3 linked regions of the Macaca fascicularis genome follow. The protein of the gene in region 1 interacts with the protein of each later gene in a pairwise test. Links are inferred from orthologs where the notes say so. Each region holds a gene or a part of one and is shown in the gene's direction. Other genes may lie near its edges. The genes, in order: FAM118A, ATOX1 and MOB3C.

The links.
Region 2: the proteins of FAM118A (region 1) and ATOX1 interact in binary tests that used the Homo sapiens proteins (3 or more experiments, as listed by UniProt). The two-hybrid records come from large-scale screens. The link is inferred for Macaca fascicularis from reciprocal best matches to the Homo sapiens genes FAM118A and ATOX1.
Region 3: the proteins of FAM118A (region 1) and MOB3C interact in binary tests that used the Homo sapiens proteins (3 or more experiments, as listed by UniProt). The link is inferred for Macaca fascicularis from reciprocal best matches to the Homo sapiens genes FAM118A and MOB3C.

Annotation. Positions count from the first base shown.
Region 1 is NC_088384.1:6,243,310-6,253,819, reverse strand, and holds the end of FAM118A (protein FAM118A), read left to right. Parts: intron 1-221; coding exon 222-507; intron 508-3,136; coding exon 3,137-3,169; intron 3,170-4,109; coding exon 4,110-4,193; intron 4,194-7,723; coding exon 7,724-7,851; intron 7,852-8,158; coding exon 8,159-8,227; 3' UTR 8,228-9,702; downstream 9,703-10,510.
Region 2 is NC_088380.1:158,588,146-158,598,655, reverse strand, and holds part of ATOX1 (copper transport protein ATOX1), read left to right. Parts: intron 1-87; coding exon 88-163; intron 164-5,775; coding exon 5,776-5,900; 3' UTR 5,901-5,946; intron 5,947-9,252; exon of another isoform or gene 9,253-9,392; intron 9,393-10,510. UniProt on the Homo sapiens protein: Binds and deliver cytosolic copper to the copper ATPase proteins. May be important in cellular antioxidant defense.
Region 3 is NC_088375.1:188,069,359-188,080,648, forward strand, and holds the start of MOB3C (MOB kinase activator 3C), read left to right. Parts: upstream 1-5,529; 5' UTR 5,530-5,718; intron 5,719-11,026; exon of another isoform or gene 11,027-11,290. Other genes in the region: ATPAF1 (ATP synthase mitochondrial F1 complex assembly factor 1), read left to right, coding at 711-834. UniProt on the Homo sapiens protein: May regulate the activity of kinases.

The DNA of each region.
Region 1 (10,510 bases):
CTGCTGTGAGGTGACCTGAGTGCCATGTCAGGAGAGGATACTGTCCTTCTAACTGTGTTCCTCAGTGTGGCCCTGGGAACGCCTGTCAGGGAGCAGTGATTTAAAAGCACACACATGTGACTCAGAGCAGTGATGTAAAAGCACAGGGATGTGACTTGGTTAGTCGTAAGCTCTTGCCGTCTTTCAAATGAGCACCCAATTTCTCTGTTGGCCTTTTCTAGGAAGTCCTCCAGAACTTATACCGCACGAAGTCCTTTCTGTTTGTGGGCTGTGGAGAGACCCTTCGTGATCAGATATTCCAGGCCCTCTTTCTTTACTCCGTGCCGAATAAGGTGGATTTGGAGCACTACATGCTGGTGCTGAAGGAGAATGAAGACCATTTCTTTAAGCATCAGGCAGATATGCTTCTGCACGGAATCAAAGTTGTATCCTACGGGGACTGTTTTGACCATTTTCCAGGATATGTGCAAGACCTTGCCACTCACATCTGCAAACAGCAAAGCCCAGGTATGGGATCTGGCTTCACTTTCCTTTTTCTTTTTTCTTTTTTTTTTTTTTGAGATGGAGTCTCGCTCTTGTTGCCCAGGCTGGAGTGCAGTGGCGCCATCTTGGCTCACCACAACCTCCACCTCCCGGGTTCAAGGGATTCTCCTGCCTCAGCCCCCCGAGTAGCTGGGATTACAGGCATGTGCCACCACGCCCGGCTAGTTTTGTATTTTTAGTAGAGACGGGGTTTCACCATGCTGGTCAGGCTAGTCTCGCCCTCCTGAAGTGCTGGGATTCCAGGCGTGAGCCGCCGCACCTGGCTGCCTTCGCTTTTCAAGTACGAAACTCACAGGGCTCTTCCAGTTGTTGCTCTCTCTCTCTTTTTGATGTAATTCACGTATCCAGAAAATTCACCAATCTTCCAGTTATTATTTTTAAAAACTGCATCTGTAATTTAAAATGAGAAGATTGGAGTAATTGGTGTCCTAGTGACAGTCTGTAACTAGAACTTTAACTTCAGGCTGGATGTGGTGGCTCATGCCTGTCATCCCAGTTTTTTGGGAGGCCAAGGCAGGAGGATTGCTTGAGCCCAGGAGTTTAAGACCAGCCTGGGCAACATAGGGAGACCTGGTCTCTACAAAAATGTTTTAAAAAATTAGCTGGGTTTGGGCTGGGCACGGTGGCTCACGCCTGTAATCTCAGCTCTTTGGGAGGCTGAGGCGGGTGGATCACGAGGCCAGGAGATTGAGACCATCCTGGCTTACTCGGTGAAACTCCGTATCTACTAAAAATACAAAAAACTAGTCGGGCATGGTGGCGGGCGCCTGTAGTCCCAGCTACTCGGGAGGCTGAGGCAGGAGAATGGTGTGAACCCAGGAGGCGGAGCTTGCAGTGAGCCGAGATCGTGCCACTGCACTCCAGCCTGGGCCACAGAGCGAGACTCTGTCTCAAAAAAAAAAAAAAGAAAAGAAAAAAAGATAGCTGGGTTTGGTGGTGGACATCTGTGATCCCAGCTACTCTGGGGGCTCAGGTGGGGGGATCTCTTGAGCCTGGGAGTTAGAGACTGCAGTGAGCTGTGGTCAGGCCACTGCATTCCAGCCTGGATGTCAGAGCAAGCCCTGTCTCTAAACACAAAACATAAAGTAACTTTGAAGTTTACAACTGTACACATATGTATAGCTGGACACATTTATTCCTGTTTCAGGTTTCCTTAACCAAGAAAGAAAACTACCAGGCTAGCTTTATCAGTTGTGATACTTAACACTTGAAAGATGCAGATACCTCATATTTGTGTCCTGTCACTGCAGTTGAAAAGTTACAACTTCACAAGCACAACCTGATTTCATGATGAACACTTGACTTCTTTTTTCAAGTGATGTATTTTCCCTGTTCTGAATGTCCCTGTTCTGAATGCAGCACCTCTTTTAAGTAGTGCTCCTTGGCCCTTTTCAGAAATTGCTCATCTATCAGGAATGACCAGGATAATTGAGAAATTTTAAAACTTGGTCATCTTGACATAAGGGAATTAATAGCTGCGAGTTTGGCATCATAAAACATTGATGATGGCAAGCTTGGAAAGGCCTGTGCTGGCTCATTTAATTGTAACAGGAAACCCAGGCACACTCACCATACACTGGAACCAGGTTAGCCACAGAGGCAGGTGTATGTATCCAGCTGTGAACTTGGAGACTAGAGAATGCACAGATAATCCAACAGCTCAGGTTTTTCTTGTTTTTTTAACCACTATCATTTCTTTTCAAAATTGCTAATAATTAGCAAAATGGACCAATGTAAGTTCCATTTCCATAAATAAAAGTATAATTCTTATTAAGGGCAGAAGAAAGGAGCTCCTGCTTGCCGTGTGTCACCCCCTACTAGGAGTTCCATATTCTTACCTTAGTTGGGTTTTCAGTGGCAGCACGCAGCGCCAGTAAGCAGACGATTTCGTAGACGAGACGAGCGGAGCTGGCACAGGCACACAACGTGCCCAGTTAGCGCCCAGACATTTTGAAGCTGGGATTGGGATCCTGGCCTGACTGCAGAGCAAAATACACCATTTGGTGCGTCCTGGCACCAGCCCAGTGCGTGGCTCTGCAGAGAGGCAGCGGGCTTTCCTCATGTCTGCCCCCGTCCGCCGCTTCTCATTCCGCCCCCACACTCCCCGAAGAACAGGGCCCAGAGCAACCCTGCATGTGCTCGGGCTCCTGGAGTGGGGCTGAGCAGCTTTCTGTCGCGCTGAGGCTCCCTTTCCAGGTTGGGGCAGGCAAGTGGATTCGACAGGCTGCCGGAAGACTGCAAGGTCACTGGGAGTTTTAATCTGTGACTGTCATGAAGGACATTTGTACTCGAATTCATGGAGTGCCACTCCTGATGGGAGAGGAGGCCCATGCCAGTGACAGTCATGTTAGCGACCACGGACACCACGCCACGCTCCCTGTGCCAGCTGGCGCCTTCAGCGAGTCCTCGCACCAAGCCTGGAAGGTGCAGAAGAGAGGGCAGCGGGCGGCCCAGGAGCCCACCTTCCGTGTGGGCCGAGCTGCCCAGAAGCCTGTTGCCAGTCACTGCCGTTCCTAGTCACTGCCTGCCAGCGGCTGAGGAGGACGAGCTCTGGGTGTCTCGGCTCCACTGACTGCTTTTCTTTCTCCTTCAGATGCTGACCGAGTGGACAGCACCACATTATTGGGTAAAGCAGATCTTTCTTCTCGCCAGCCTGTTTTTTGCCTACACATTCCATTGTCTTCTGTCATTCACTGTAAAATCATAAACGTTTGTTTTTCACCTTAAATAATTAGCTTGTATTAAGACAGCCCCACTGAAGATGATAAATAGCCATGCATTAGCATGGTGCCTGCCACACCGAGACACTAAAAGCCATCCCTTTGACGAGGAAGCACAGCCGGATCACACGTGGGCCAGCTGGCACCTGAGAATAATTTCTTGCCCTAGAACCAAGAGTGACAGGGGACTTGGAACAGGTTCTATTTGTGGGATACCATGTGGGGCAAGATGCAGTGCCTTAGAATGACCCAGCTCTTCCGCAGCGTTCATTGCACGGGTCTGAGCTTTCACACAGAAGCTTCTATTTAATCCTTGTTTGAAATGTGAACGCTCTTATTGCTGGGCTCAGTTCTGCCTGGTTATACATTTAACAAGACTTGGTGGCTACAAGCGTCCTCCTGTGTGTGAACTGGGCACCAGGTGCCTCCCCTTGCTGAGCCATTTGGGTAAAAGGGACTCTGGTGAGTGGCGCAGAGGCCTCTGTCGCAGCCCCGTTTTCCCTGCCTGTTTGGCCCAGTGCGTTCACAGATGAGAAAACGCGCATCGATGTGGGAGCTGCTCGCATCACATCCATGTTAGCGGTGCGGGAGGTATAAAACCGCCGCAGTCAGCTTCCCATCCACCTATTCCCATGCGAAAGGACATCTTTATTACAGTCGCTTTCTTACTGAAATGCGACTCCCGGAAGCATGGCTTTCTTTGGAGAGAAGCCGTGGTGCGGTCAGTGTCATCTGCAGGGGATGGCAGGGTCTGTTTGGCCTATGCTTCAGTAAGGTCACATTTATAAACTGTGCCTCGGCGGGTGGATTCTAAATAAACAAGCTTAATACATTTTCCTCTTTCAGGTAATGCATGCCAGGACTGTGCAAAGAGGAAGTTAGAAGAGAATGGAATTGAAGTTTCAAAAAAACTCAGACAATCAGATACTGGTATTGTGTCCGTTCTTTTTGTGGGGAGCTGCCTCAGGTCGGTCTGGTTGGCAGGCATCTTCAGGGACCATGCCGCGCTTTAATGCTCCGGGCCCTGTGGTGGGAGGATGGTGCATACATTCTGTCAGGGCCAGAGAGCACAGGAGGCTTAGCAGAGACCCTGACCTCTCACCCCAACCCAATTCCAACTGCCCAGAGGTGCTGGTGCCTCTTTAGAAAACTGTTATGGAGAAAACATACACTAGGAAGGTGCAGCGGGCAGAAGGGTGCTGTCTACAAAAAGAAAAGTTAAAAACATGAATAAAAAGTGCACAAGTTATGTAAGGTCAGCTCAGTGCATTTTTGCAAAGTGCACGCTCCCATCTAATCACACCCAGTTGAGGTAGCAGCATTGCCAGGACCCCCCTTGTCACTCTCCAGCCTTCTCCAGCCCCTAAGGGTGACCACTAGCCTGATGCATGTCACCCGAGTCCTGTAGAAAAGCACTTTAAATCATTTGAGCTGTGCTGCCTGTTACAGACTGAGATGTAAGTGACTGAACTATCTAAACAGTGTATTTGAATAGGCCTCTCTGTTGACACTACGAAGGGCGATCTCGCTCGTTCGTGCCGGTCCCTCCCTCTCCCCTTCTCCTCCTCCTCCCAGGTTTGCGTAGTGCTGTGTGTTATTTCTCATTCTTTAAATAACAGACTTAAGCCAGACTTCCCAACACGAAGCCTGGGCTGGATGGCCCCCCGCTTGCGTATCCCACCCCCTGGCCCGCCGGCTTCCCCGTTTTGTTGGTCTCCGTGGTGACAGGACAGAAGGGAAATGAGACCCCCAGTCTGTCTGTAGGTTGACTGTAAAAGTCGGCAAACAAAAGCATTTCCTTGATGAAAACAGCGTCAGTGTTCTTTCCTGCTTAGCCAGCTTGTGGCGGTGGCCGTGGGCCCAGTGCCACGGCACCTGTGCCAGCTGCAGATGTGTTCTCAATGTCAGGGTCAAATGTGGCTTGTTCTTACATTCCATTCTCCCATGTTTTATTGTTTAATATTGGGGCTTTGAGACATTTGTGTTACTTCTTATTTTTTGAGGAGTTTTTAGGTTCTTCTTTCCCCTTTGTTTTCCAAAAAATAACATTTCCCAATATTCTTAAATGTATGCATTCCCTCAGCTTTCAGAACTAAGAATTTTTTTTTAAAAAAAGTATGCATTCTCTTCATCCTGCCACCCCACGTCTCCCAGGACACCTTCTCCTGGTCAGCTCTGTGGGGGACTGCTGTGTGCCTGCCTCCCGAGCTTCCCTCCTCCTCTCTGAGATGGAGGCCCAGGTCTCCCTTGTTCTGGCCCCCCGTCCATCCTGCTAGTAGCTCCTGAGGCTGCTTCTGCAGAGCCCTGTGCGGGGTCGCCTCCCGAGGGCGATGTGTCTGCAGGTGTCTGTGCCATCCTCACGCTCGTTGGTAGTTTTGGCGTGGGATTCTTGGTTGTGATTCCCCCAGACTCCACTGTCTGAAGACCAGGTTTCCTATGAAGAGGGTCTGATGGGAACCTGTTCCCAGTGATTTGAAGGTACCCGTTGCTTTTTTTCCTGGGAGTTTTTAGGGTCCCCTTTTCCCTTGAGTAGAAATCCAATGAGGATGTATTTAGGTGGAAAACTTTTTTTACCTGCCTTATTCACGTGTTCTTTTTCTTCCTCCATTTCTCCAGTTCTGGAATAGTCTGTGATTCTCTTTATTTCTTCTTTCCATCTTCTCTGTTCTCCCTTTCTGGAAGTCATACTAGTTGGGATTGCTTGGATTGATTTCCACTGTCTTTTAAGTTTTCTCTGATGTCTTTTTTTTATTTTTTGAGACAGAGTCTTCTGTCGCCCAGGCTGGAGTGCAGTGGCGCAATCTCGGCTCACTGCAACCTCTGCCTCTGGGGTTCGAGCCATTCTCCTGCCTCAGCCTCCTGAGCAGCTGGGACTACAGGCGCCCACCACCATGCCCGACTAATTTTGTATTTTTAGTATAGATGGGGTTTCACTATGTTGGCCAGGCTGGTCTCAAACTCCTGACCTTGTGATCCACCCACTTTGGCCTCCCAAACTGCTGGGATTATAGGCGTGAGCCACTGCACCCAGCCAAGCTCTAGTTTTCTTAGTTACCTTTTCTCAGAGCATCTGCTGTTCTATGTCTGTGAGAACTCTGGAGACAGAAGTCAATCTGGTTATCTGACTCTACTACATTCCTGAAAACAGTGGGAGAGAGGATTTTCATATAATAGGAGTTTATATTTTAGTACTTCATATAAGTAAACCAAAGTAAAACACTCTTAAATACCTACATAGCAGTCCACCAAAAATTTCTGAGAGCTATGAAGCGTCCAGCTTTTCAGTTACCTCTTCATTTAACATTGAAATCCTTCAGCGGGTGTGTTGGAGCAGTATTATGTCCCTGCATGTTCCTTCAACACCACAGGGACCATGTGCAACAGTACATGTTATAAAGATTCATAGTGAGTGCAAACTTAGTCAAGTAAAATAAGGCAGTTCTAAAAGGGCCAGCTGCAGAGTGAATTATAGCGCAAGTGAGGGCTGGCAGCAGGGGGTGGGGGTGCCCTAGTGTCCTGCCGTCCAGGGGCAGGAAAGATGAGAGTGAACTGGTGTGGGGGTCCTCATGGGAGAGCTGTGAGGGGCAGCTGTCGCAGACTCGACATCCTCTCGTTTAGTTTTATACAACTTTGGCCAGGCGCGGTGGCTCACACCTGTCGTCCCAGCACTTTGGGAGGCTGAGGCAGGTGGATCACCTGAGGTCAGGAGTTTGAGACCAGCCTGGCCAACATGGGGAAACCCCATCTCTACTGAAAATACAAAAATTAGCCAGGCGTGGTGGCACGTGCCTGTAGTCCCAGCTACTCAGGAGGCTGAGGCAGGAGAATTGCTTGAACCTGGGAGGCAGAGGTTGCAGTGAGCCGAGATTGTGCCATTGTACTCCAGCCAGGGTGACAGAGCAAGACTCCGTCTCAAAAAAGATAAAATAATAATAATAGTTTTATAGAACTTCAGGTGCACTTGGGGGCACACACGTTTTAGAGAATTAGATTTTGATAGTGTTTTGGATCAGACTGAAATATTTTTGCAAATATTTGGATTGTGAGTTCAGCTAGTAGAACCATTGTGTAAGTAAAAACAAAACACAAAACTGGTGTTCTGTGAACTGTTTCCTCTGGGGTAGGTGGTTCTTTCCCACAACTTTCTTTCATGTTCCTTGTTTGTTTTCTGCACATCTGGGCTCCTCCAGTGCCTGCTGACAAGAACGAAGGCCCGGGCAATTATGCTCAATAGATTGGCTTTCTTCTGCCGTTGCTCTTGTTTTGTGTACATAGATTTTGTCCCCCCGTAGCCTACCTCTGACTGGTGTGCACATCAGGAGGCAGGGCCTACTGCCTGGTAGACCTTGCTGTGGAGCATTGGGCAGGGATTTTCTTCAGTACCTGTGAGATCTGTGCTCCTAGACGCCATCACCTGCACCTGCAGTCCCAGTTGTCCCCACACAGTCATGTCTCCTTAGGGCGAAGCTCCTGGCCTCTGTTGTACAGAAAGCCTTGGCCTGTCCTGCATGTGGGTGAGAGAAGCCAAGCCCGGGGATCCCAGAGGAATCGACAGGCTGCTTCTCCATACCTCCAACAGGCTCTCACTGTATGTTTGTTGAAATTGCCCCATCCTCAGTCCACTAAGAAATAAAAGAGCATCCATGTTCATGGATTGAGATTCCCACAGATGGTTGCAAATGTAATTGTCATCACTTGCTTGATCCCCTGATGGTATTGATAATTACACAAGGTCATTTCCAGACAGTGACTACTGTTTCCATTGTGGAGGGGTTTTCTAAGTCTTCCGCATGTAAGAACAATTGTAAAGCAGTTTCTGAAATAGAAATCTATTGCAAATAATTTCTTTTAGCTGGACTTTAACCCTTGGGCATATCGTTCTTTTATTTAAACAGATGATGCTGGAGGGTCTTGAAATCTTTAAAACCAGTAAAACCTGCAACTTGAAAACCAGCCTTCTGTAACCACAGTGCCCAAACGAAGAGGAATGCGTGGAGAACTCCACGTGGATCTCTGATTGCAAAACCTCACATACACCAAGAGAGCCACATGGGCGTGTGGCCCTCAAGGCTGGGTGAGAGGGCTCCCCTGTGTGTTGAACTGTGCAGGAGGTGACGCGGACACACTTCAGGTGGACTTTGCAAGGACTGATGGACAGCTACCTCAGGGGCCAGGATCCATGGGAAGGGGTGGACCTGGTGTTCCCGTTCCCATCTGACAGGCTCTCTTTTGTCAAGGTGGTATTTTTTGTAATAAAAGGGGAAGAGTAAAGACTGTCCAAGCAACAGTAGTTGCCAAAGAGAAAATACGAAATAGACACTTTTTTTTTTTTTTTTTTGAGTCAGAGTCTCACTGTCACCCAGGACAGAGTGCAGTGGTGTGATCTCAGCTCACTGCAGCCTCCACCTCCTGGGCTCAAGTGATTCTCCTGCCTCAGCCTCCCGAGTAGCTGGGATTACAGGCGTCCACCACCATGCCTGGCTAATTTTTGTATTTTTAGTAGAGTTGGAGTTTCACCATGTTGGCCAGGCTGGTCTCGAACTCTTGACCTCAGGTGATCCACCTGCCTCAGCCTCCCAAAGTGCTGGGATTACAGGCATGAGCCACTGCGCCCAGCGAAATAAACACGTTATAATTTGTATGTGGAAACATGTTACTATAGAAAGCATTTTAAAGGTATGTTTGTTCCACTGTTAAATAGTAAAGAATGAATCCGCTAGTGAAAATGGTATGTTTTTAGGGAGAACAACTGGATCAAAGGGCTTCTTTGGAATTAGTTTTAGTAACTTCTGTTCCAAAGAAACACAGGTCTGATATTGCTAAGAACTGTGAAATCGGAGGAGCCAGAGGCCCTTTGCCGAAGTTCAGGCCAGCGTTGTGCAGGGCCACTGTGGCACTGACAACCAGGACAGCCCAAGTTTGAAAGACCAGGTTTCAAACATTATAAATTCCAGGCTTTGCAAGTCTGTTATTGTCTCTTAAAATTCTCTTCTATGGCCCATATTAAGGGAGTTTGCAGAGAGTGAGGGAGGCAAAACTTGAAAAGGGCCTGCAACACTTTAAACCTTCTCAGGTTCACCCACATGAAACGGCTGTGCTGGGTGCGCTGCTGGTGCCGGGGAACTTCTCTGACTGTGACACAGCAGCGGCTTCTGTGGTGGTTCATGAGTGGCCCTACGGTCAGGGGTTCTCTTTGGAAACAAACAGCCCTGCTTGGTTTCAGTTTGAGGCCACTTATCTTCAATGTGACATTTCTTGCCAAGCCCTGTGACACTCCCCATTGATGACTCCCACAGGTACAGAGAAAGTTAAGAACAGGAAATAGAAGGGTAGAATGCAAAGGGAGGGAGATAAGCCCTGAAAACTTTTTTTTTCTTTTTGAAGCATGGAAAACAAATATTTTATGCCACTCCAGCCATAAATAAAATTTTAACTTCAACCCTGTGTGCTCAGTGTTTCTTTAGTTATGCCAAGGCTTGCTAGAATGCTATTTAGTGAGAATTTGTAGCTTGAGTTGCCACCCAACTGTGAAATCAACTAAATGATTACTTGAATGTGTTTAAATGTTTTAAAAAGCAAACATTATAAATTATTGTTTTAAATGTCATTTACTAAGTGCAGTCAGGGAATATCTGAATCTGAGAGCTGGCCAGACACAGGGTATAGCAGAATTACAGGCGTAGAGGATGCTGTGCAGTAGGATGTAAAGCTCATTACAGCCCATTTTAAGAAAAGCTTTGTGTTCTCTGCTGGAGGACGCAGCCATGTTGCTGTACCACATGGATGTATCTAGTTGGTTCTGTTGTATGCTCGTTGTAGAATGTAAAGTTTATTCCAGTGCGATTGATAGATTAGAGGCAACTCCAGCATAGTGTACTTGCTTGTGTATAGTTTAGTCAGTGAGAAACATCACATGAGGAGGCAACAAAGTTGGCCCTGCTGTTTACTGCCTCAAGCTAGAATAGCCATTACATTTTAAAATGGTTACATTTTAAGGCAGGGTAGCTGAAACCTGTAATCCCAGCACTTTGGGAGGCTGAGGCGGGCAGACCACTTGAGGCCAGGAGTTTGAGACCAGCCTGGCCAACATGGTGAAACCCTGTCTCTACTAAAAATACAAAAATTAGCTTGGCGTGGTGGTGTGCGCCTGTAATCCCAGCTACTTGGGAGACTGACGCAGGAGAATCACTTGAACTAAGGAGGCAGAGGTTGCAGTGAGCCCAGATCGCACCACTGCAGTCCAGCCT
Region 2 (10,510 bases), on another chromosome or scaffold:
TCTCTTTTGACCCTGAGTGGGCCTGTCTGCTGGCACTGTGTGTGGGTCACTCTGCAGGGCTCGGGTCATGCTCCCCCTTTGTTTCAGAAGCACGTGTTCTCTGTGGACATGACCTGTGGAAGCTGTGCTGAAGCTGTCTCTCGGGTCCTTGATAAGCTTGGAGGTGAGTGAGTGGCCCTCAGTTAGGGGTGGGATAGAGGAGACAGATGCACTTATGCCATGTTCAGATGCATGCAGATGTTGCAGGAGAGGCTTTGGGTTAAGCTGATCATAACAGTAAAACTAAAATGTATTGAGTACTTAGCACGTACCAACTACTCTTGTTAGTTTCTTATGTGGATCACATCATTTAATCCTAACCACAGCCATTTCAGATAGCTTGTTTGACTAGCTCCATGTTAAACAGGAGACAGCTGAAATTCAGAGACGTTAACTTATCTGGGATCACATGGTCAGTAAATGGTGGAGCTGGGATTTAGCCAAATTAACTAGAACTGCCAGGACTAGCTCTGGAACCATGGCAGTACTAGTGAATATGTTGGTCATCTCCAGTGTATACTGCATGACACATCTGAGTGTCATTTTCTGTTAAAAAAAATTTTTTTTTTGAGACGGAGTTTTGCTCTTCTTGCTCAGCCTGGAGTGCAGTGGTGCGATCTTGGCTCATCGCAACCTCTGCCTCCTAGGTTCAAGCAATTCTCTTGCCAGAGTCTCCCGAGTAGCTGGGATTACAGGCATGCGCCACCATTCCTGGCTTATTTTGTATTTTTAGTATAGACGGGGTTTCTCCATATTGGTCGGCTGGTCTCGAACCCCTGACCTCAGGTGATCTGCCTGCCTCGGCCCCCCAGAGTGCTGGGATTACAGGTGTGAGCCACCCTGCCCAGCCTCTATTAAGATTTTTTAAATGGGGCTGGGCACGGTGGCTCACACCTGTGTTCCCAGCATTTTGGAAGGCTGAGGTGGGCGGATTGCCTGAGCTCAGGAGTTCTTGAGACCAGCCTGGGCAACATGGTAAAACCCTATTTCTACAAAACGTACCAAAAAAATTAGCCAGGCATGGTGGCACATGCCTGTACTCCCAGCTACTTTGGGGGGCTGAGGTGGGAAGATCGTTTGAGCCCAGGAGGTTGAGGCTGCAGTGAGCCTAGATCATGCCACTGCACTGCAGTGGAGGCAACAGAGCAACACCCTGTCTCAAAAAAAATAAATAAATAAGAAAAAAAAAGAAAGATTTTTAAAAAGTAACAATTTGAAAAAATTTTGTCTTTTTCTATTTCTTTGCTTCAAAAAATTTTTTTAAGTAATTTTGAATCGCTCACATGCAGGGTTTTTTGTTTGTTTGTTTTGTTTTTTGAGATGGAGTCTCACTCTGTCGCTCAGGCTGGAGTGCAGTGGCACATGATCTCAGCTCGCTGCAACCTCTGCCTCCTGGGTTCAAGCAATTTCTGGCAAATTTTTTGTATTTTTCATAAAGATGGGGTTTCACCATGTTGGCCAGGCTGGTCTTGAACGCCTGACCTCAAGTAATCTGCCCACTTTGGCCTCCCAACGTGATAGGGTTACAGGCATGAGCCACTGCACCTGGCCACACGTAGATATCCTTAAAGCACCTCTTTTCAACAATCAGTCTCATCCAGCCTTGTCATTTCACATCTGGGGAAACTGAGGCCCAGAGAGGGCTGGGATCTGGTCCTGGGACTGAATGAGGTAATAACTGAGTTGTGATCAGAGTTTTGGCGATGCCAGTCAGCCTTCTAAGACTTTTTCTTTTCTTGTTCCCCTACATGAACTGTCACACAATCTTCTAAAATTTTCTGTTTTAAAACCCTAAATAATAATGACATTAAGTTTTCAAATGGCTTCCACATGGACGTGATCTCATTAGCAGTCCTCTGAGCTGTACTTTTCATCTTTGGAATGAGGATGTTGATGCCAGTACCCAGGAGGTTAAGTGACTTGCCCAGAGTCCCGCAGCAAGTCAGTGGCTGACCTCTGGCCCTGTAAACTGGAATCTTAATCTGAGAGAAACTGAAACAGTGGAAAGAACCTGGCTGCTGACTTTCCATATGACTGTGGGCCCTTGTTTCTCAGGCCTGGGTTTCCCCAGCTGTGGTATAGGAATGTATATCTTGTGTATCTGTATCAACTTCTACTGTTGATGCTTTTTTTTTTTTTTTTTTTTGAGATGGGGTTTCCCTGTTTTGCCCAGGCTGGAGTGAAGTGGCATGATCTCTGCTCACTACAACCTGCTTCACGTGCCCTCCACTGGATTCAAGTGATTCTCCTGCCTTAGCCTCCCGAGTAGCTGGGATTATAGGTGCCTGCCACCGTGCCTGGCTAATTTTTTTTTTTTTTTTTTTTTTTTTTCCCCTGAGATGGAGTTTCACTCTTGTTGCCCAGGCCAGAATGCAATGTCGTGATCTCAGCTCACCGCAACCTCCGCCTCCCGGGTTCCAGCAGTTCTCCTGCCTCAGTCTCCCGAGTAGCTGGGATTACAGGCGCGGGCCACCACACCCAGCTAATTTTGTATTTTTAGTAGAGACGGGGTTTCTCCATGTTGGACAGACTGGTCTCAAACTCCTGATGTCAGGTGATCCTCTCTCCTTGGCCCCCCAGAATGCTGGGATTACAGGCATGAGCCACTGCGCCCGGCCTGTTGACGCTTTAAAAATGAAACTGCACAGGAGCCCCTCAAATAAAGCAGCAGGCTCTGGATGAAGTGGGAACGGGCCTAATTTTGTTTGACAGCTCAAGGACACCTACCCACCCCAGGAACTTCATCCAGGCCAGAGTGTAGTGGCGCGACCTCAGCTCACTGCAGCCTCAACCTCCCAGGCTCAAGTGATCCTCCCACCTCAGCCTTCTGAATAGCTGGGACTACAGGATCACACCGGGCTATTTTTTTTTTTTTTTTTGTAGAGACAAGATCTCACTTTGTTGCCCAGGCTGGGAAACCATATGATTTTTGGTTTTGTTTTTGGTTTTGGTTTTGGTTTTTTTGAGACGGAGTCTTGCTCTGTCACCCAGGCTGGACTGTCGCCCAGGCTGGAGTGCAGTGGCCGAATCTCAGCTCACTACAAGCTCCGCCTCCTGAGTTTATGCCATTCTCCTGCCTCAGCCTCCCGAGTAGCTGGGACTACAGGCGCCTGCCACCTCGCCCGGCTAGTTTTTTGTATTTTTTAGTAGAGGCGGGGTTTCACCGTGTTAGCCAGGATGCTCTCGATCTCCTGACCTCGTGATCTGCCCGTCTGGGCCTCCCAATGTGCTGGGATTACAGGCTTGAGCCACCGCGCCCAGCCTGTTTTTGTTTTTGAGAAGGAGTCTCACTCTGTCTCCCAGGCTGGAGTGCAGTGGTGTGATCTCGGCTCTCTGCAACCTCTGCCTCCCAGGTTCAAGCACTTCTCCTGCCCCAGCCTCCCAAGTAGTTGGGATTACAGGCACATGCCACCACACTGAGCTAATTTTTATATTTTTATATATTTTATTAAAATATAAAATTATTTTTTTATATTTTTTATATATGGAGTTTCACTATGTTAGCCAGGCTGGTCTCGAACTCCTGACCTCAAGTGATCCACTCGCCTCAGCCTCCCAAAGTGCTGGGATTACAGGCATGAGCCACCACGCCCAGCCAACCATATGATTTTTAAGGCCCCTTGCTGGAGGATCTGCCTTTGAGCTTTGGCAGGTTTCTCCCCATCTTTTCCTACTGTCCCTGCTTGGATGGCCTCTTGAGAAAGTCAGGAGGGTTTTTTGAGTTGCTTAGGGCCCTAAAAGAAGAGTGCGAGGGCTGAGGAATCACAGATTAATAGCATTCTTGAGCTGGAAAGACCACAGGAGCTGGCCAGCCCTGAATCCTTCATGTACAGATGAGGTAACTGAGGCCTATGAGAAACAGGACCCCACCCCTGCCATCCATGGTCACCCAGCAAGTCAATGGTGAGGCCAGGCCTAGAACCTCTCAAGACTTTTCCTTTCTTTCTGTGTGCTCTTTTGTCAGAGTAAAACTCTGGGTCCTCTCATGTGCTGCTGGGGGGCTATAAATTGGCATAGTCATTTAGGAGGGCAATTTTGCAATGTCTATTAAACATTCAAAATGTGTCAAACATCTGTCGCCCCACAATTTCCATTCTGTGAATTCACTGTATAAAAATATTTTTATAAGTTTTTTTAAGACAAGTTCAAGTATGTTTGCTATAACATTGTGATAGTGGTGAAAAATTAGAAGCATCCTCAATGACCTTTAACATGGATTAATTAAGTGGATGTGTGGTACGTTCACACTATGGAAGATTGTAGCTTTTAAAAAAAGAATAGGGCCAGGCACTGTGGCTCACGCCTGTAATCCTAACACTTTGGGAGACTGAGGCAGGTGGATCACCTGAGGTCAGGAATTCAAGACCAACCTGGCCAACATGGCAAGACCCCATCTCTACTAAAAATACAAAAATTAGCCAGGCATGGTGGCTTATGCCTGTAATCCCAGCTACTCGGGAGGCTGAGGCAGAAGAATCGCTTGAACCCAGGAGGCAGAGGCTACAGTGAGCTGAGATCACATCACTGCACTCCAGCCTGGGAGACAGAGCAAGACTCTGTCTCAAAAAAAAAAAAAAAAAAAAAAAAAAAATGGGCTGGGTGCAGTGGCTCACACCTGTAGTCCTAGCACTTTGGGAAGCCAAGGCAGGCAGATCGCTTGAGCCCAGAAGTTCAAGACCAGCCTGGGCAATATGCAAAAGCCTGTCTCTACATAAAATACAAAACTTAACCAGGCATGGTGGCATGTGCCTGCAGTCACAGCAACATGGGAGGCTGAGATGGGAGGATCACCTGAGCCTGGGTGTTCAAGGATACAGTGATTTGTGATTGTGCCACTGCACTCCAGCCTGGATAACACAATGAGACCGTGTCTCTAAATAAATAAATAAATAAAAGTAATAAATAAAGAAAAAAGTAAAATATTAGCAAGACCTGTTTATGTAGTGTGATGCCATTTGGAGAAATTATTTTTCATTTGTCTATCTGGGACAAAGTCTGGATAGAAGCCGGACTGTTCACAGTGATCTCAAGGGGTAGGATCAATAGGGGGCCTTACTGCTTCTACTTTTATTTAGAAATGTTTGCTTTTTTGGAAAAAAAAAATGTCTATATTACCTTTGCAATTAAAAAAAAAAAAACGTGGCTGGGCGCAGTGCCTCATGCCTGTAATCCCAGCACTTTGGGAGGCCAACGCGGGCAGATCACTTGAGATTAGGAGTTTGAGACCAACCTGGCCAACATGACAAAACCCTGTCTCTACTAAAAATACAAAAATTAGCCAGATGTGGTGGCGTATGGCTGTAATCCCAGCTATTCTGGAGGCTGAGGCATGAGAATCACTTGAACCCCGGAGGTGGAGGTTGCAGTGAGCTGAGATTGTGCCACTGCACTCCAGCCTGGGCAACAGAGTGAGTCTCTGTCTCAAAAAGCCCTAGTATAGAGCAGGGATCAGCACACTACAGCCCATGGACCAAATCCTGCTCACAGCCTATTTTTGTATGTTCAAGAATAGAGTTATAAAAAAATATGCAGAATATACAACAGAGTCCATATGTGGCCCACAGTGCCTACAACATTTACTTTCTGGCCCATTACAGAAGAAGTTCGCCAATCCCTGCTCTACAGGAAAGGGCAAGGGTGGTTGTGAGTAGTAATTTAGAGCCTGAACTCTTTCTTGCTATATAACTGGGAGGGTCTGTGCTTCCTTTCCCCATACCCCATTTCCTCTTCCTGCAGGAGTTAAGTATGACATTGACCTGCCCAACAAGAAGATCTGCATTGAATCTGAGCACAGCGTGGACACTCTGCTTGCAACCCTGAAGAAAACAGGAAAGACTGTTTCCTACCTTGGCCTCGAGTAGTAGGCACCTGGTCCCCACAGCCCACAGGATGGACCAAAGTGGGCAGGTGGGTAAGGCCCCATCACTTGCTGAACAAACCTGCTGCTCACACCTCTCATCAGAGCTAACACCTTGGCCTTTGAGAGCTTGAGTGGAGCAGAAGAGCCCCCTGGGTTCTTTTCAATCCACTGTCTACCTTCTTTGAAGTGGTTACAAATATTTTATTATTGTCTAATGCAAATCACAAGTTCAGGGAATTCTTACAGCCCCTGTGAGTGGACAGAGCACTGTAAAGTCTCCCAGAGTCCTCTTTCGGACTTGGGGGTTGCAGTTCATGGATAGCAGGGTTTAAGTTTACAGTCTATGACCCTAAGCAGTGCATTTTGGCTCCTTTGTTTGTTCGTTTGTTTGAGACGGTGTTTCACTATGTGGCCCAGGCTGGAGGGTAGTAACTCTTCATAGGTGTGATCATAGTGCACTATAGCCTTTAACTCCGGGGCTCAAGTGATCCTCCTGCCTCAGCCTTCTAAGTAGCTGGAGCTGTAGGCACATATCACCACACATGGCTCTGGCTTTGATAAACTGACTGTCTCATCAGAGTTGACACTTATGCCTTGGGCCTTATTCTCCTGTGCCCTGACCAAGTGAGTTAATACAGACTGTGCCGCCCTCTCTACTTGAAACTGTTAGCTTCCTGAGCATGCCCTCTGTCCAGACTGGTACAAAAACAATAGCATGTTTGAGCTAGATGTTCCCTTCACTTTTATGTAATCCAGTGAGGCAGTAAGGGGCACTGTGCCACCAGTCTTCACTCTGGAACCAGGCAGACCTTACTCATTGATCCAGCCAGTCTCAGCAGGGCACTTCTGGCTGCCATTGCCCATGTAGCACATTTGACTCGTGAATTACAATGATCACCACATCTCTGATGTGGTTTGGTGCCCTGACTGTGACTGAGAAAAATGAGGCCAAGAGAGGGGAAGCGATTCAACCAAAGTCCCACCCAGGTGAGTGGCAGAGGCAGGAAGAAAGTCAGATATCCTGAATCGGGGTTCTGTAACTGTTACTGGTGGCATTGTCCCTGTGAATGGGCCCACGGAGACCCCGCAGACAGAGGCCAGCCACAACTGACTGGTAGGTCCTCTTCGAGGATAGCCTCCTTCCCAAAGGCGTACATTTGGAACCTGAGCCATGGCAGTGTTCTGTGTATGTGGTAACATCACATGCAAGTCACAAGATGTCAGATGCATCTGTTTTCGTCATGCACTTTCCATCCATAGATAGAATGCATATTCAGGAATGAGCCCAGGATGAATAACGAGGAATCTGGGATTCTGATTCCAACTCTGTCCTCATTTCACACTGACTTTGGGGACTTTTTACATTACAGAGATTTGGTCTTCCCATCGGTAAAATGGGGCTAACACCTCCAACCTGCTTTCCTGCCTTGTGGGGATTGGTGTGCAATCTCTCCACATATGAAGGCTTATCCTCTAGGGAAGTAAAACATCAGCTGTTTCCAGCATGTTGAAGAATAGTGTTTCTTACATCATTCCTCTACCCCTAGGGTTTCGTAGGGAGGGTGAGTGGATGGGGGCTCTGGACCTTCCATAGCTCCCAAACAGCCCTGTGTCATATTGGGCTTCCTGTAAGATTGTATTTTATGAAAATGCTCTGTAACAAGAAGGAATGGAGGGAGAGAAGAAAAAAAAAAACTCTTCCTGAACTAGCTATATACATGGGGGAGCCCTAATGCACACATCTTGGATTAGAAACTCCAGGCCTCGGCATATGAATTTTTTTAACTAAAAAAGTAATATCTGTTGGATGTAAACCATGTGTAGCTTAATGTGTTTTTCTCATAGAAAACATGTTTTCTCATGTTATTTTATTGAGATGAAATTCACAAGACATAATAATTAACTATTTTAACCCATTTATGCTGAATATTGCAAAGTTTTTTATGTGAAAAATCAAACCTTGGTGATGACCTTGAGCAGTAGGATATAAATAACTCCCACAAGCTTAGCATTCCAATAATGGAACACTAGGCATAAATGGGCTAAAGTCTATCATTTAGTGGCATTTGTTGCATTCACAATGTATGACCACCACCTCTCTCTAGTTTCAAAACTTTTTCATCATGTCAGAAACACACCCTATATCCATTAAGAAGTCACTCCCCACTACCCATTTCTCCATCCCCTGGCAGCCACTAATTTGCTTTCTACTACTACTCTGGATTTGCCTACCCTGGACAGATCATATAAAAGGCATTACATTATATGTGACCTTTTTGTGTCTGCCTTTTTCCATGTAGCATAATGTTTTCAAGATTCATTCAGGTCATATCATGTATCTGTAAATCATTCCTTCCTATGGCTTAGTAATTTTCATGGCACTTTTTATTTATTTTAGATTTTTTATGATAGGAAGTTTCAAACACATGTAAGTAGAGTGATAGAATGAATCCCCAAGTACCCGTCACCCAGATCCAACAATTAGTGTTTATTTCACCAAGGCCTGTTATTTTTTGATAAAAGCACTCTGTGACAAGAAGGAATGAAGGGAGAGAAGGAAAAAAACTCTTCCGGAGCTATCTATATCCATGTGGGGGAGCCCTAATGCACACATCTTGAATTAGAAACTCCACTGTCCTCATTGTTTCATCTGGGTAACGAAACACCCAGATTATTTTGAAGCAAATTCTAGACATCATGCCCACTCCCTCCTGCCCAGATTGTTTTGAAGCAACTTCTAGACATCATACAATCTTATCTGTACATATTTCAGTAACCATGTATTGTATGGAAAGGCTCCTGGAAATTCAGATGCACAGTACTCAGTAAGAATCACCTAAATAAGCCAGCTTTAGTCCACGTGCTCAGGCAACATGTCTTTGAAGTCTGCTCTAAGAGGTTCCTCAGTGACCCACTTGAAGCCAGGCTTGGGAACCTCAAAGATAGAGTGTTTATTGGTTTTGAAGTCACCTTAATCATCTGACTCTTGGCAGATTTATTTGCTCAAGCTTTTGTTCATTGCCTTTCCAACATAAACTGTAACAGGACAGGGAGTGCTGTTGACTGAGTATCCTGGCAGCCCTGGAAATTCCCCACAAGAGGGCTTTGGCAGTGATTGGCTTAGCAAGGTTAATGCGTTCCAGCCAACCTGAGTATAACAGGTTCATGGGAGTATAACAGACTTCATGGGAGCAGTGTGCAGGGCTGGACATTGGGGTTCTAGTCCTGCCCCTGCATCTGCACCCTAGGTTTTCCCCTCACCCCTGCCTCTTTGTGCATTTATTGCCTTTGCAATATCGCTATGTCCACAGCAGATGGCGCCTTTGTTCCACCTAACTTTCCGTCTTTCCTAGGATGCTGATCCTCCTCCCCTGGCTTCCAGACAGACCTGGGACTTGGCAGTCATGCTGGGCAATGGTGTTCCTGTGGAGACCCTCAGTTGTCCTATTCCTTCCTAGCTTCCCCGCAATAAAATCAAGCTGCTTTTGTTGGAGATGTTGTCTTGCCTAGTCTTGGTGTTGCTTGCTCACATGTAGGTGGTTACGCTTACTCGGGTTGGAGTTTTGAGAGTTCCCACCTGGAAGTCAGACACCCTGTAGATTCTGATTCTTTGCTGTGTGATCTTTAGCAAATCACTTCCCCTCTCTGGGCCTCATTTTTTCCTCACTATAAAGTAAAGGCATTGACCCAGAACAGTGATCCCCTTTCTTTTCACCGGTTTCGTAGATTTCATATTTTGAAAAACTTTTGTCTATCAGGTGAATTGCACAAAAGGTTATCAAATGTTAAGGCAAGTGGAATAGTGGGAAGAGGCTGTGGAGACAAACTGCCTGGGATAGAGTTCAAGCTCCAGTACCTCCCAGCTGGGCCACTTAACCTCTCAGTGTCCACAGACATAAAATGTGATGATAGCATCTACTGCAAATGGTGGTTGTGGGGATTAAATGAAGTGATACGTATAAATCAATTAGAGCAGTGATTGCTGGTTAAAAATCACTCAGAAAATATTAGTGATTCATTTTTGGCTTTTTGTTTGTTTTGAGATGGGATTTCTCTCTGTCACCCAGGCTGGAGTGCAGTGGTGCAATCAGGGCTTACTGCAGCTTTGACCTCCCGGGCTCAAGCAATACTCCCACTCTTGCCTCCCAAGTAGCTGGGACTACAGGCACATGTCATCATGCCCAGTTCACCTTTTTTTTTTTTTTTAGTTTTTTTCTAGAAATGGGGTCTTGCTATGTTGCCCAGGTTGATCTTGAACTCCTGAGCTCAAGCAATCCTCCTGCCTTGGCCTCCCAAAGTGCCTTGAACTCCTGCCCTCAGGTGATACACCCGCCTCAGCCTCCCGTAGTGCTGGGATTATGGGTATGAACCACTGCACCTGGCTGCCACTCATTTTTAAAATATTTCATTAGTCAAAAATCTGTCACAATGGCAATTTGAATTCCAGTCAGGCTGAGTCAGGTTGAAACTAGTCAGGTTGGAGTGCAGTGGCATGATCATAGCTCCCTGTAACCTCTAACTTCTGGGGTCAAGCAATCCTCCTGCTACAGCCTCCTGAGTAGATCTTATATACTCTTAAAAATTATTGAGGATCTTGGCCAGGTGCAGTGG
Region 3 (11,290 bases), on another chromosome or scaffold:
AACACAATAACCAGTAGCATTTACTAAGGGCTGACCGTATACCAGGCACTGTGCTAAGTCCTTACATGGCTTATCTCAATCCTACCAACCCTATGAGGTTGGCAGGAACCTGCTGGTCGGTGACATGTGCTGCTCTCTCCTTGTACCCTTCTGCCCCAACTCCAGCTCAGAAAAGAAAGCAACCAGCCAGGCGCAGTGGCTCATACCTGTAATCCCAACACTTTGGGAGGCCAAGGTGGGCGGATCGCTTGAGACCAGGAGTTAGAGACCAGCCTGGTCAACGTAACGAAACCCCGTCTCTACTAAAAATACAAAAATTAGCTGGGCATGGTGGCACACACCTGTAATCCCAGCTACTCAGGCTGAGGTACAAGAATCACTTGAACCTGGGAGGTAGAGGTTGCAGTGAGCCCAGACTGTGCCACTGCACTTCAGCCTGGGTGATAGAGTGAGCCCCTTTCTCAAAAAAAAAAAAAAAAAAAAAAAGTCATGGTTGGCTCTGGAACCAGCCCTGAGAAACATGTCTTCCAATTTTCTTGCTGGTAACTAAAGAACAAAATGCATGCATTATGTACCTCTGATTCCTCCAGACAATTTTGCAAGACATCATGTTCTAACTAGGGAGGACTTCTTTTGGAGAACTTTGGTCTTGTCAATTCTTCTGATGTGACAGATTGATAACAACATCTTTATCCTTGTTCTGCTAAAAGGGAGAGCTGGAGCACAGAAAGGGAAGAGATGACTTCAAGGTTGCTGTCTGCATCAGGAGCCAACCCAGGAATAGATGACTGCCCATGCTCCACACTTAATAGGATCATTTGTAATGTCCACTGAGCTGGCTCATTCTTCACATTCACTTGAACAGGGCTACTTCTGAGGTCTTCAGGCTTTAGGAACTGGAATATCTACAAGAAAAATTAGTTCAAACCACTTATGAATCGTGACAGGTTCCCCAGAGCTTTCAGGACAAAGTCCTTTTAGATCAGCTCACAGGAGCTTCAGGATCCAGTGCATGGTGTCTTCTCCAGGCTCATTTTGTGCCTCTCCTACCCACTCCTTTGGCTCCAGCCATTCTGGATGACTTGCAGTTCCCTAAACACATTGTGCTCTTCCTACCTCTGTTCTGCTCTTTTCAAATACATTTGCCTGCTTCAAATACCTATTCCTCCTTAAGTTAATTCAAAGCTTCACTGTAGTATCTCTATGAGAAGCCTTCCCTGAGACCTATTCCCTTCCACATGGCCCCCCTGCAAGCCTGGCTTCCCCACCAGACTGAATAGCCCTTGGAGACTGGGATCATATCTTACTGGACATTATATTCCAAGTGTCCAACACGAGACCTGGTAGAGAGGGATAAGATACTCTGTGGATGCTGAATAAACTCCGTTTGAGTGACCACTAAACTCAGACCACCCAAGTCTACAAATATTGCTTGCAAAGTGAGATCCAGCTCTGACAAACACATTGTGGTTATGTCCCAGCCCAAGACAGTGGTCATTTTGCTTGCTCTTATTGCAGAGGCTACATGTGGAAAACCAAGCCAAGGGGCGAACAGAGAAGGCAGTCAGGTCCAGGGTTTGTAAGCAGAAAGAACTGAGAGATGATGATGAACAAACTTTTGGAGCAAAACAATTAAGTACCAGGCTGTCACTTTCAAATTCTTGTCTTGCCTTGCCAAACCTTAACATTAAAAAAGACCTGGTTGGGCGCGGTGGCTCACGCCTGTAATCCCAGCACCTTGGGAGGCTGAGGCGGGCGGATCACGAGGTCAGGAGATCGAGACCATCCTGGCTAACATGGTGAAGCCCCATCTCTACTAAAAATACAAAAAATTAGCCAGGCATGGTGGCGGGCACCTGTAGTCCCAGCTACTCAGGAGGCTGAGGCAGGAGAATGGTGTGAACCCGGGAGGCGGAGTTTGCAGTGAGCCAAGATTGCACCACTGCACTCCAACCTGGGGGACAGAGCAAGGCTCAGTCTCCAAAAAAACAAAAAAGACCTTACAGGCTAAGTGTGGTGGCTCATGCCTGTAATCCTAGCACGAGGTGGGCGGATCACCTGAAGTCAGGAGTTCGAGACCAGCCTGGCCGACATGGTGAAACCCCATCTCTACTAAAAATACAAAAATTAGCCAGGCATGGTGACAGGAGCCTGTAATCCCAGCTACTCAGGAGGCTGAGGCAGGAAAACTGCTTGAACCCGGGAGGGGAGGTTGCAGTGAGCCAAGATCGCGCTATTGCACTCCAGCCTGGTCAACAAAGTGAGACTCTGTCTCAAAAAAAAAAAGGTTGAGGGACGGCCGGGCGCGGTGGCTCACACCTGTAATCCCAGCACTTTGGGAGGCCAAGGAGGGCAGATCACCAAGTCAGGAGATTGAGACCATCCTGGCCAACATGGTGAAACCCTGTCTCTCCTAAAAATATAAAAATTAGCTGGGTTTGGTGCCTATAATCCCAGCTACTCGGGAGGCTGAGGCAGGAGACTGGCTTGAGCCAGGGAGTCAGAGGTTGCAGTGAGCCAAAGCCTGGCGACAGAGCAAGATTCCATCTCAAAAAAAAAAAGACCGTACAGACTATCCAATCACCAGTTTTCAAACTGTGCTTCGAGAAATCCCCAAAGTCCAGAGCTGGGGACCTTGGGAGTCTGACCCCCCAACTCAACCAGAGAATCTGTGTTTTATTTATGGGGCTTCTCATAAGCTGTCATCTGAAGAAACAGTTTTCAAGAAAGACTGAAAAAAAACCCTGGTCTAGTCTAATTCTCCCACCTACCATTGTAGGCCTCCCTACAGCACCACTAAGCCGTTGGACAACTGTTTAAAATTTTCCCGGGGACTGGAACTCTCTACCTGCTAACTGACCTGCACCATGCTGAGACAGCTCTGAGTAAGTCAGTTCTTCCCCACCCCTAGCCAAAATCTGGCCTCTTCTCACTACCCTCACCTCCTTCTGCCTGTTGTAGATGGAACCTCCCAGGAGAGTCTTCACTTTTCCACCTAACCACCTCTCCTGCTGATAAGCAAAAATAACTCTCAAGTTGCTTTGGCATCTCTTCAGCAGAACTGTCTGTCTTTAGTTATATGACCCAAAACCCCAGCCCCTCACCCTCTGGCTCACCTGCATCTGGACAGACTAGCCAGTGTCACCAGTGTCTGCCTCACAGTTGGAGCCCGGAGTTGAGCCCAAGATGCTCTTGTGGGGTATTCAGAGTGGATTCTGGGTGGCCATCCCTTGAGAGTTGGCATGGTCCACCTGGAAGTCATTTCCCCACATAGCCACTTACTGAAGTCATCTCACTGACTCCACCTTTCCTGGCCTTTGTCTTTATTCCCACCTTGCTATCTTCCCATAATCTGTTGTCAAACATTGCTTTTCCTGCCTGGAACTTTAGTCCTTTGGACCTCCACACATAGCCCCATTCCATCTGGCTGGTTTCAGTCCAGTGCTCCCATCACATCTTGACTTGAATCTTCACTCTACTGCCCAGAACCCATGTCCCTCCCAATAGATATGATATTCACGTGACCTTGGTCCTCTTCTACATCTGCCATGGCAGTAACCATAGATTAGTGATGTCCTCTCAAGATCTTCGTTTACCCAAAAAATATTTGCCATGGTTTGAAACAATCACTACTAGGTCATGCTTGATATGTGGTCCACTGTGACCCCACATCATGTTTGTTACTGCTATTTTTACCACACTAACAATATGGTATGGATCCCCATCTTGCACTCTCATTTCTTCAACCCACATTAATTCTCCCATTTTGACCTTGCCTCTGGTCAAGTAAGAAGTAGCAGACATGTCTTACATTTTGGCACTAATTTTGCAGGGGAAGAGAGGGAGCAGGGAGGTATTTTGCTGAATCTCACTTGGTGTGTGACCCCCAAAAGACTCTCTGAGATGCCTAAGTTTCTTTCATTTGATCTTTGCAACAATACCTTAAGAGTAATATGATTCCTTTTTTTTTTTTTTTTGGACAGAGTCTCACTCTTGTTGCCCACGCTGGAGTGCAGTGGCGCAATCTCGGCTCACTGCAACCTCTGCCTCCTGGTTCAAGGGATTCTCCTGCCTTAGCCTTCCGAGTAGCTGAGACTACAGGTGTGTGCCACCACGCCCAGCTAACTTTTTGTATTTTTAGTAGAGATGGGGTTTTGCCATGTTGGCCAGGCTGGTCTCAAACTCCTGACCTCTGGTGATCCACCTGCCTCGGCCTCCCAAAGTGCTGGGATTACAGGCATGAGCCACCACACCCGGCCAATATTATTCCCTATTTTACAAATGAGGACACTGGGGAAACAGCATCATAGATGTGAAGAGTCAGGACTAAATTAGAATCCCAGTTCTGCCTTTCGTTCACTGTCTGGCCTTAGACGAGTTATTCAGTCTCTCTGAGCCTTTGTGTTCTCATCTGTAAATAACATAATAATGGACCTATCTCAAAATATAAGAAAGGATTAAATGATGTAGCAAACACAGAGTGCTTAGCACTATAATAAAAGTGCAAAACGGTAGCTGGTTAAGTACCTTTTCAAGGTGCACATCTATACAGAGGAGGAGGAATTTCTGTTTCTGGAACATAAATCTTCTCCTAGAACTAGACCTTTCATTTATAGAACATATTTCTTTTGTACTATTTTTCTACACCATGTTTCAATTTTCAGAAAGTCTCTTCCAGGAATTTAGAGAGGCTTGAGCAGTGGTAATCATACCAGACCAGGGCACAGGCATCAGGAATCTGGGAGGTGGGCAGGCGAGCAGGCAGACCCAAAGCCTGGCAGCTAACATCTAGGTCGGAAGCCAGGTAACATCTGGAGTTTTGGGCCAAGGTGCAGGCCTGCCTGATTATTTGTAGATGGCTTATCTGAGACAAAGTTATTCCTGGTTACAGATGTCTATGTATTTAGTTCCTTGGCAACTTATTAAACATAACTGTTTACAGTTTAAAGAGACCAAATCTATCTAACCTTGTCATTTTCCTACCTGGCTGGGCATCAGAAACACCTGATGCACTTGTCAGAGCTGTCCATTCTTGAGCTTCACCATTGAGACATAGATTCTGTTGGCCTGGGGTGGGGCCTGAGAAACTATTAGGTTGGTGCGAAAGTAATTACAGTTTTTGCCATTTATGTCAAAAACGCAATTACTTTCGCACCAACTTAATATTTTTCTTTTCTTTTCTTTAACTCTCTCCAGGTAATTCTGAAACTCAGCCTGATTTGGGAACCCCTGCAATAAGTTTTTACTTTTACTTTGCACCTGAGGAAAAAGGCTCCAGACCAGGTGAAGTGACTTCCCCAAGGTCACACAGGGTATCGGTAGCAGCATTCCTTCTATCTCTTTGTTCCAAATTTTCTTTGCACTTCAGTCCAAGGCAACCCAACTGGAAAATATCTGAAAAAGACAAAGATTTTATTATTGTCTGCCTCTGGTAAAGATTTCTTGGATGAGACTAGCTGTTCCCAGCATGCCCTTAGGTAAGACCCCTATGGGGCAAGAGAGGAAAGCCTTCCCAGATGCTTGGAGTTCAGATGTTTTCCTTGTTTGATTTTGAAAGCTGAGAATTTCCCTGGCTCGTGACCCCTGGAAACAAATTCTGGATTATCTGTTGCGCTGGACTATCTGTGCCTGGCCCCTGCAGCTACATAGAGAATTGTGTGTTGCCTGCACAGGCTGAAGCTCTCCATCCATCCTGCATGCATTTTGTACTCGCCTATGGTGAGTGAGCAGAGGGGGATGATATATGGAAATCCAGGCAGGCAGCAGTGTCAGGGGAGGGGGTTGAGGGGTGTGAGGGATTGATGGGAACTCAGCTACAGAGCTCAGTTGGGAGACTCACACCCCATTGGAGCTAGGATTGATTGCTGGAACTTTCTCACCCTTCTCAGTTTGTCTCAGAGCCAGCAACCTGCACTGTGTCCTCTGGGCACCCCTGCGGAGAGGGAATTGCTCTCAAAGTCAGGGAAGCTCCAGTCTGTCAGTGATGGTCTACCTCATGCCCTCTTCCCAGAGGCAGGCAACTCGGCACTCTAGAAGCCGAGTGACCTTCAGACAGCCTTCTGTTTCCCTTTCTTCTCTCTGTACTTGGCCTCCTTCTTATCTGTTTTTCAACTCTCAGCTCACACTAAATGACTTCCTCCATTGGGTGCTATCTGTAGAATGTGTGGAATATGACCTGCCCCGGCAGATTTTGCAAGAGTATCAAAAGAGTGAGTGAGAAGTCTAAGGTGATGTCAAGGTTATGGAGGATGGTCGATGTACTTAATGCTGCCAATTGCTTTAACATGGATCCAGGCACAGATGTCTTATCATTTACTTTCCCAGGAGAGCATTTTTTTGAAAGTGTCTAACCCCCATTCAAACTGACTTGTTCTTTGCCTAACTTATATTTGCTAAGTGCTCAGGCAGTGTCGGGCAGAAGGATAGACCCTGTGACTGGACCTGTTTTTGAGTCTCAGCTCTGCTTGCTTGCTCTTTCTCTCTTTCTTTCTTTTTTTTTTTCTTTTTCTTTTTCTTTTTTTTCTGAGACGGAGTCTCGTTCTGTCGCCCAAGCTGGAGTGCAGTGGCCGGATCTTAGCTCACTTCAAGCTCCGCCTCCCAGGTTTATGCCATTCTCCTGCCTCAGCCTCCCAAGTAGCTGGGACTACAGGTGCCCGCCACCTCACCCAGCTAGTTTTTTGTACTTTTTAGTAGAGACGGGGTTTCACCGTGTTAGCCAGGATGATCTCTATCTCCTGACCTCGTGATCCACCCGTCTCAGCCTCCCAAAGTGCTGGGATTACAGGCTTGAGCCACCGCGCCCGGCCATCTTTCTTTCTTTTTTAAGATAAAAGTCTTGTTCTGTCACCCTGACTAGAGTGCCTTGGAGCAGTCTTGGCTCACGGCAACCTCCGCCTCCCAGGCTCAAACAATCCTCCTGCCTCAGCCTCCTGAATAGCTGGGACCATGGGCACTCACCACTGCACCTGGCTAATTTTTGTATTTTCTTAGTAGAGATGGGGTTTCGCCATGTTGCCCAGGCTGGTCTCTAACTCCTGAGCTCAAGCAATCTGCCACCTCAGCCTCCCAAAGTGCTAAGATTACAGGCATGAGCCACCTCACGCGGCCCAGCTCTGCCATTTCAAGCTGTACTTCTTGACCAAGTCATTTCACCTTTTGGAGCCAATACTCGCATTCCAAGGTTGTTGCAGGACTCAAGAATGACCAGAGTAGGCCAGGCGCAGTGGCTCACATGTGTAATCCCAGCACTTTGGGAGGCCGAGGCGGTGGATCACCTGAGGTAAGGCGTTCAAGACAAGCCTGGCCAACTATGGCGAAACCCTGTCTCTACAAAAATTAGCTGGGCATGGTGGTGTGTGCCTGTAATTCCAGCTACTCAGGAGGCTGAGGAAGGAGAATCGCTTGAACCTGGGAGGCGGAGGTTGCAGTAAACCGAGATCACGCCATTGTACTTCAGTCTGGGTGACAGAACGAGACTCCATCTAAAAAAAAAAAAAAAAAATAGTTAGTAAAAGCACTTTGTAAACCACCACAACATTCCTTACAACTGTCGGTTGCTGCTACAAGGTAATATGGGAGGAGGCAAAATAAATAAAACCCCAATTCTGAGGGCTTACAGTCCAAAAGGGAAGACGCAACCTCCATGGGCTTAACCAAGGAGCACAACTACAAACCACTGAGAACTTTTTGTGTCAAGGGCTCCCCCCTGAGGAGGGTTGGTTCCAGGCAACTGGTGTAATTTAGGAAAACTTCCTGGGAAAGAAGAGCATACCCTTAGTCTACTTAGCCTTAGGCAAAGCAGAGCTCCTACAGCTGCTTCTTGAAAAGGCCCCAAATGCAATTTGATGACATACTGGATTAACAACTGCTGGAAGTCACAAGCTGTACTTGTGTGGAATCCAGACTCTACAGGGTGCAGCATGAGTCTCCACCAAGAAGTGGACTCCACCCACCGAATTGCTGCTTCCCGCTGCAGCAGACACAGCTTTCCCATCTCCTGGACATGAAGCCAAGATGGGACCCAGAGAGAGCCGCAGTGTAGGGTTTGGAACATCATCTAAACATGGCCAATCCCTTCTCCCTACTTAGTGGAACTTTCTCTCCAGCCCCTCCATCCCTCTCTGAAGGGAAGAACAATTTAAAAGCTCTAGAAAGATAAACCTCCCTCTCTCCCAGGGTTGCTGAGAAGAAGAAATGAGAATATGCCTTTCAGGGAGAGGCATATGTAAGGTTCACTTAATGGTTTTTATTGTCATGATTCATCATTGGGCTGATCTCTTTCTCTCTCTATGTCTCAATTTTCCACATACTTCGAGGAGATCACACTAAGTGATATCCAAGAACCTTTCCCTTTTACAAGCCACCCCCTCCCTGACTTGTTGTTCAATAATATTCCTCTGTAGCCAATAGGACACGTGGGCCCAGTGGAACTTCCTTAGAAGACCGAGGCCTTTGTCACCACCCACAAAGCAAGGGGAAGGTCTACAACTGGCCAACATACAGTGCCTGACATCTAATGGGCCCTCAGTAAACACTTGTGGAATGTAAGAATGAATGAACAAATAGAAGAAAGTGATGTGTTTTCACACCACCATAATAATTTAAAGCATAATTTACCACCATTATTTTTTTATTTTTATTTTTTTGAGATGGAGTCTCGCTGTATCACCAAAGCTGGATCTTGGCTCACTGCAACCTCTGCCTCCTGGGTTCAAGTGATTCTCCTGCCTCAGCCTCCTGAGTATCTGGGATTACAGGTGCAAGCCACCATGCCTGGCTAATTTTTGTGTTTTTAGTAGAGGTGGGGTTTCGCTATGTTGGCCAAGCTGGTCTCAAACTCCTGACCTCTTGTGATTCGCCTGCCTTGGCCTCCCAAAGTGCTGGGATTACAGGCATGAGTCACTGCGCCCGGCCATAATTTACTACCATTATTGCTAAAAGATAACACCCAGGCCTCTGGGGACCATAAAAACCCCCATCCCTGCTGGCAACTCTGAGGCAGGGAGGCAGGTGTTACTGAACTCACTTGGAGAAGGGATGCTGTGCTGTGGAGAAAGGAGGAGGGTGCATCCAGACTGGGGCAATCTGAGGGCTTTCTGTAGAAAAGTTTTGAACTAAGTAGGGGTTGCTCTATGCAGGCAGCCCCAGAGGCTGAAATGGAGGCACCCCAGCAGCAGAGGAGGGGCCAGGGTTGGACAGAATTTCCTGGGCAGCCTTCATGGTGGGTTCTATGGAAGGCTGAGCCTGGAACACTGGTGAAACCACCCCTCCCCCACAACTATCACCTCCACTCCCGGGGCACCCCAGGCTGGGAACTAACCCAAATGGTTGGAGGGGACAATGCCTACTGGGACCATGTTGAGGGTGAGGTCTGAGGGCTGTGAAATTGTCTTCAGGCACTTATGCATACCAGGCTTCCACCCCAGTCTCCAGAGGTCCCCTTCCCAAGATGGAAGAGATGAGAGCAATGCCTCTACCTTAAGGGGAGAGGGCTGGGAAGGAGGAGTAGCTTGGAGCAGAGAACACTGGAGCCTGAGGTTCTTAGAAGCAAGAGGGCCCTCCCCTTCTCTGGAGGGACTGAAACCCTCTGAAGTCCATGTCACCAGGGGCTGGTAACTTCTGCTTACACCGCTCCCTCCCGAGAGAACAGCACAGCCATCCAGGCTGCATGGTTGGACAGCTCTGATATGCCAAGCGCCCCTTCATATTGTCCTGGGTGTCTGCCCACTGCTCTCCAGGACCCTGGAGCAAGCTCAGTCCCTCTTCCACACAAACACCTGCTGGGTGTTTGAAGGCAGCACCCCTGAAACAGACTGACCACAGCCTTCTACTGTTTCCAAGGGCTATCACATTTGATTCTCTCAGCTCTTCTGTGGGGCAGATGTTGTTGTTGTTGTCTTTACTTTAGAGAAGGGGAAATAGGCTCAGAGAACAAGTGCCTTGTCCATAGTCACACAGAATTTTAGTGCATATCCTTGTCAACCTTGTCTTACCCTGCCATCTTCCCTTGAACCTTGTCTCCTTCAAGTGAAAGGAAGTCTAACCTCAATTCCTCTGAATGCCATAAGGGTGCCCATGGCATTCTCCTCAGTGGGCCAGGATGGAAAATCCAGGATAGATGAGCCTGCCTCCTGGGCAGGGAGGGGCAGAAGCTGAAATGGAAACTCTTTCTTGGGAGAGAGTGAGGAGAGGGTGGGCCCCATCAGGCTATAGTAGCTGCCAGACATCTGGTAAGGTGAACTGAGGGTGCAGTAGCTCATTGTGTGGGGCAGGGAGGGAGGGGGAACTTTCTTGGCATAGGAAGGGCTGTGGAGTCCCCAGGAAGTGGCCACTCTGTATCAGTGGAGTCACTGGATACAGGCCTCCAGTGGGAAGGCACAGGAAGCTGGTTCTGATACGGTACTTGGAGTGGTACTTGGTGTGGCTAGAAGATGCTTTCATGGTACAGGTGTAGAAACTGAGGCCCAGAGAGGGGCAAGGGCTTTCCCAAAGGCACACAGCAGGCAGACACCACCCTGCTGCCACTCAGAGTTCCCACTGCAAGGGGGGCCTGTGCCCAGGCTGAGTAGTGGAAAAGGTCACGTCCTATCGTAGGTCCTCACTGGCTCACGCCAAGCTTCAGAGATGAGCCTTGTTTAAACTCTTCTGGAGCCATTTATCATACTCAGGGCACAGTGGCAGGGAACAGAGCCTGTCTTGTGTAGGTATCCAGTGCTGTAGGGTTGCAGTGTGCCATCAGAGAGGGCAAAACCATCCCAAGGCCACACAGCGAAATTATGGTAAAGCCAGGACACTGTTCTCCAAGGTCTGGGTCTTTTCAGCCCCAGCAGAGCCTCCTAGAAGAACTAGTCTCTCTAACCAGGACTGAGAAGGGCAGGAAGAGGGTACAGGTAGTTGAGAGATCTGGGCTTTCTGGCTTCCCCCAAACCTTCCACCTGCTTCCCATCCCACAGACACCCAGGGACTCTGAGGATAAGCTGGGAACTTCTGATATTCCTTCAAAATGGATCATTTCTATTTCCCACAGTGTAAGGTTCTGTGCTGTTCACTCTTCACCAGAAAAACTCCTCCCTATCCTATAAAACCCAGCTCAGAAGTCCAGAAAATGACCCTGCACAAAGCCACAGAGGAAGTCACATCAAATTCCGAAGAATCTTCCAGACCATGATCTCTGACCACAACGCAATATAATTAGAACTCAACAAGAAAAACATAAACCTCCCATAGGCTAAGAAACTGAAAAACACACTTCGAAATCATTCAAGAGTTAAAGAGGAAATTACATTGAAAT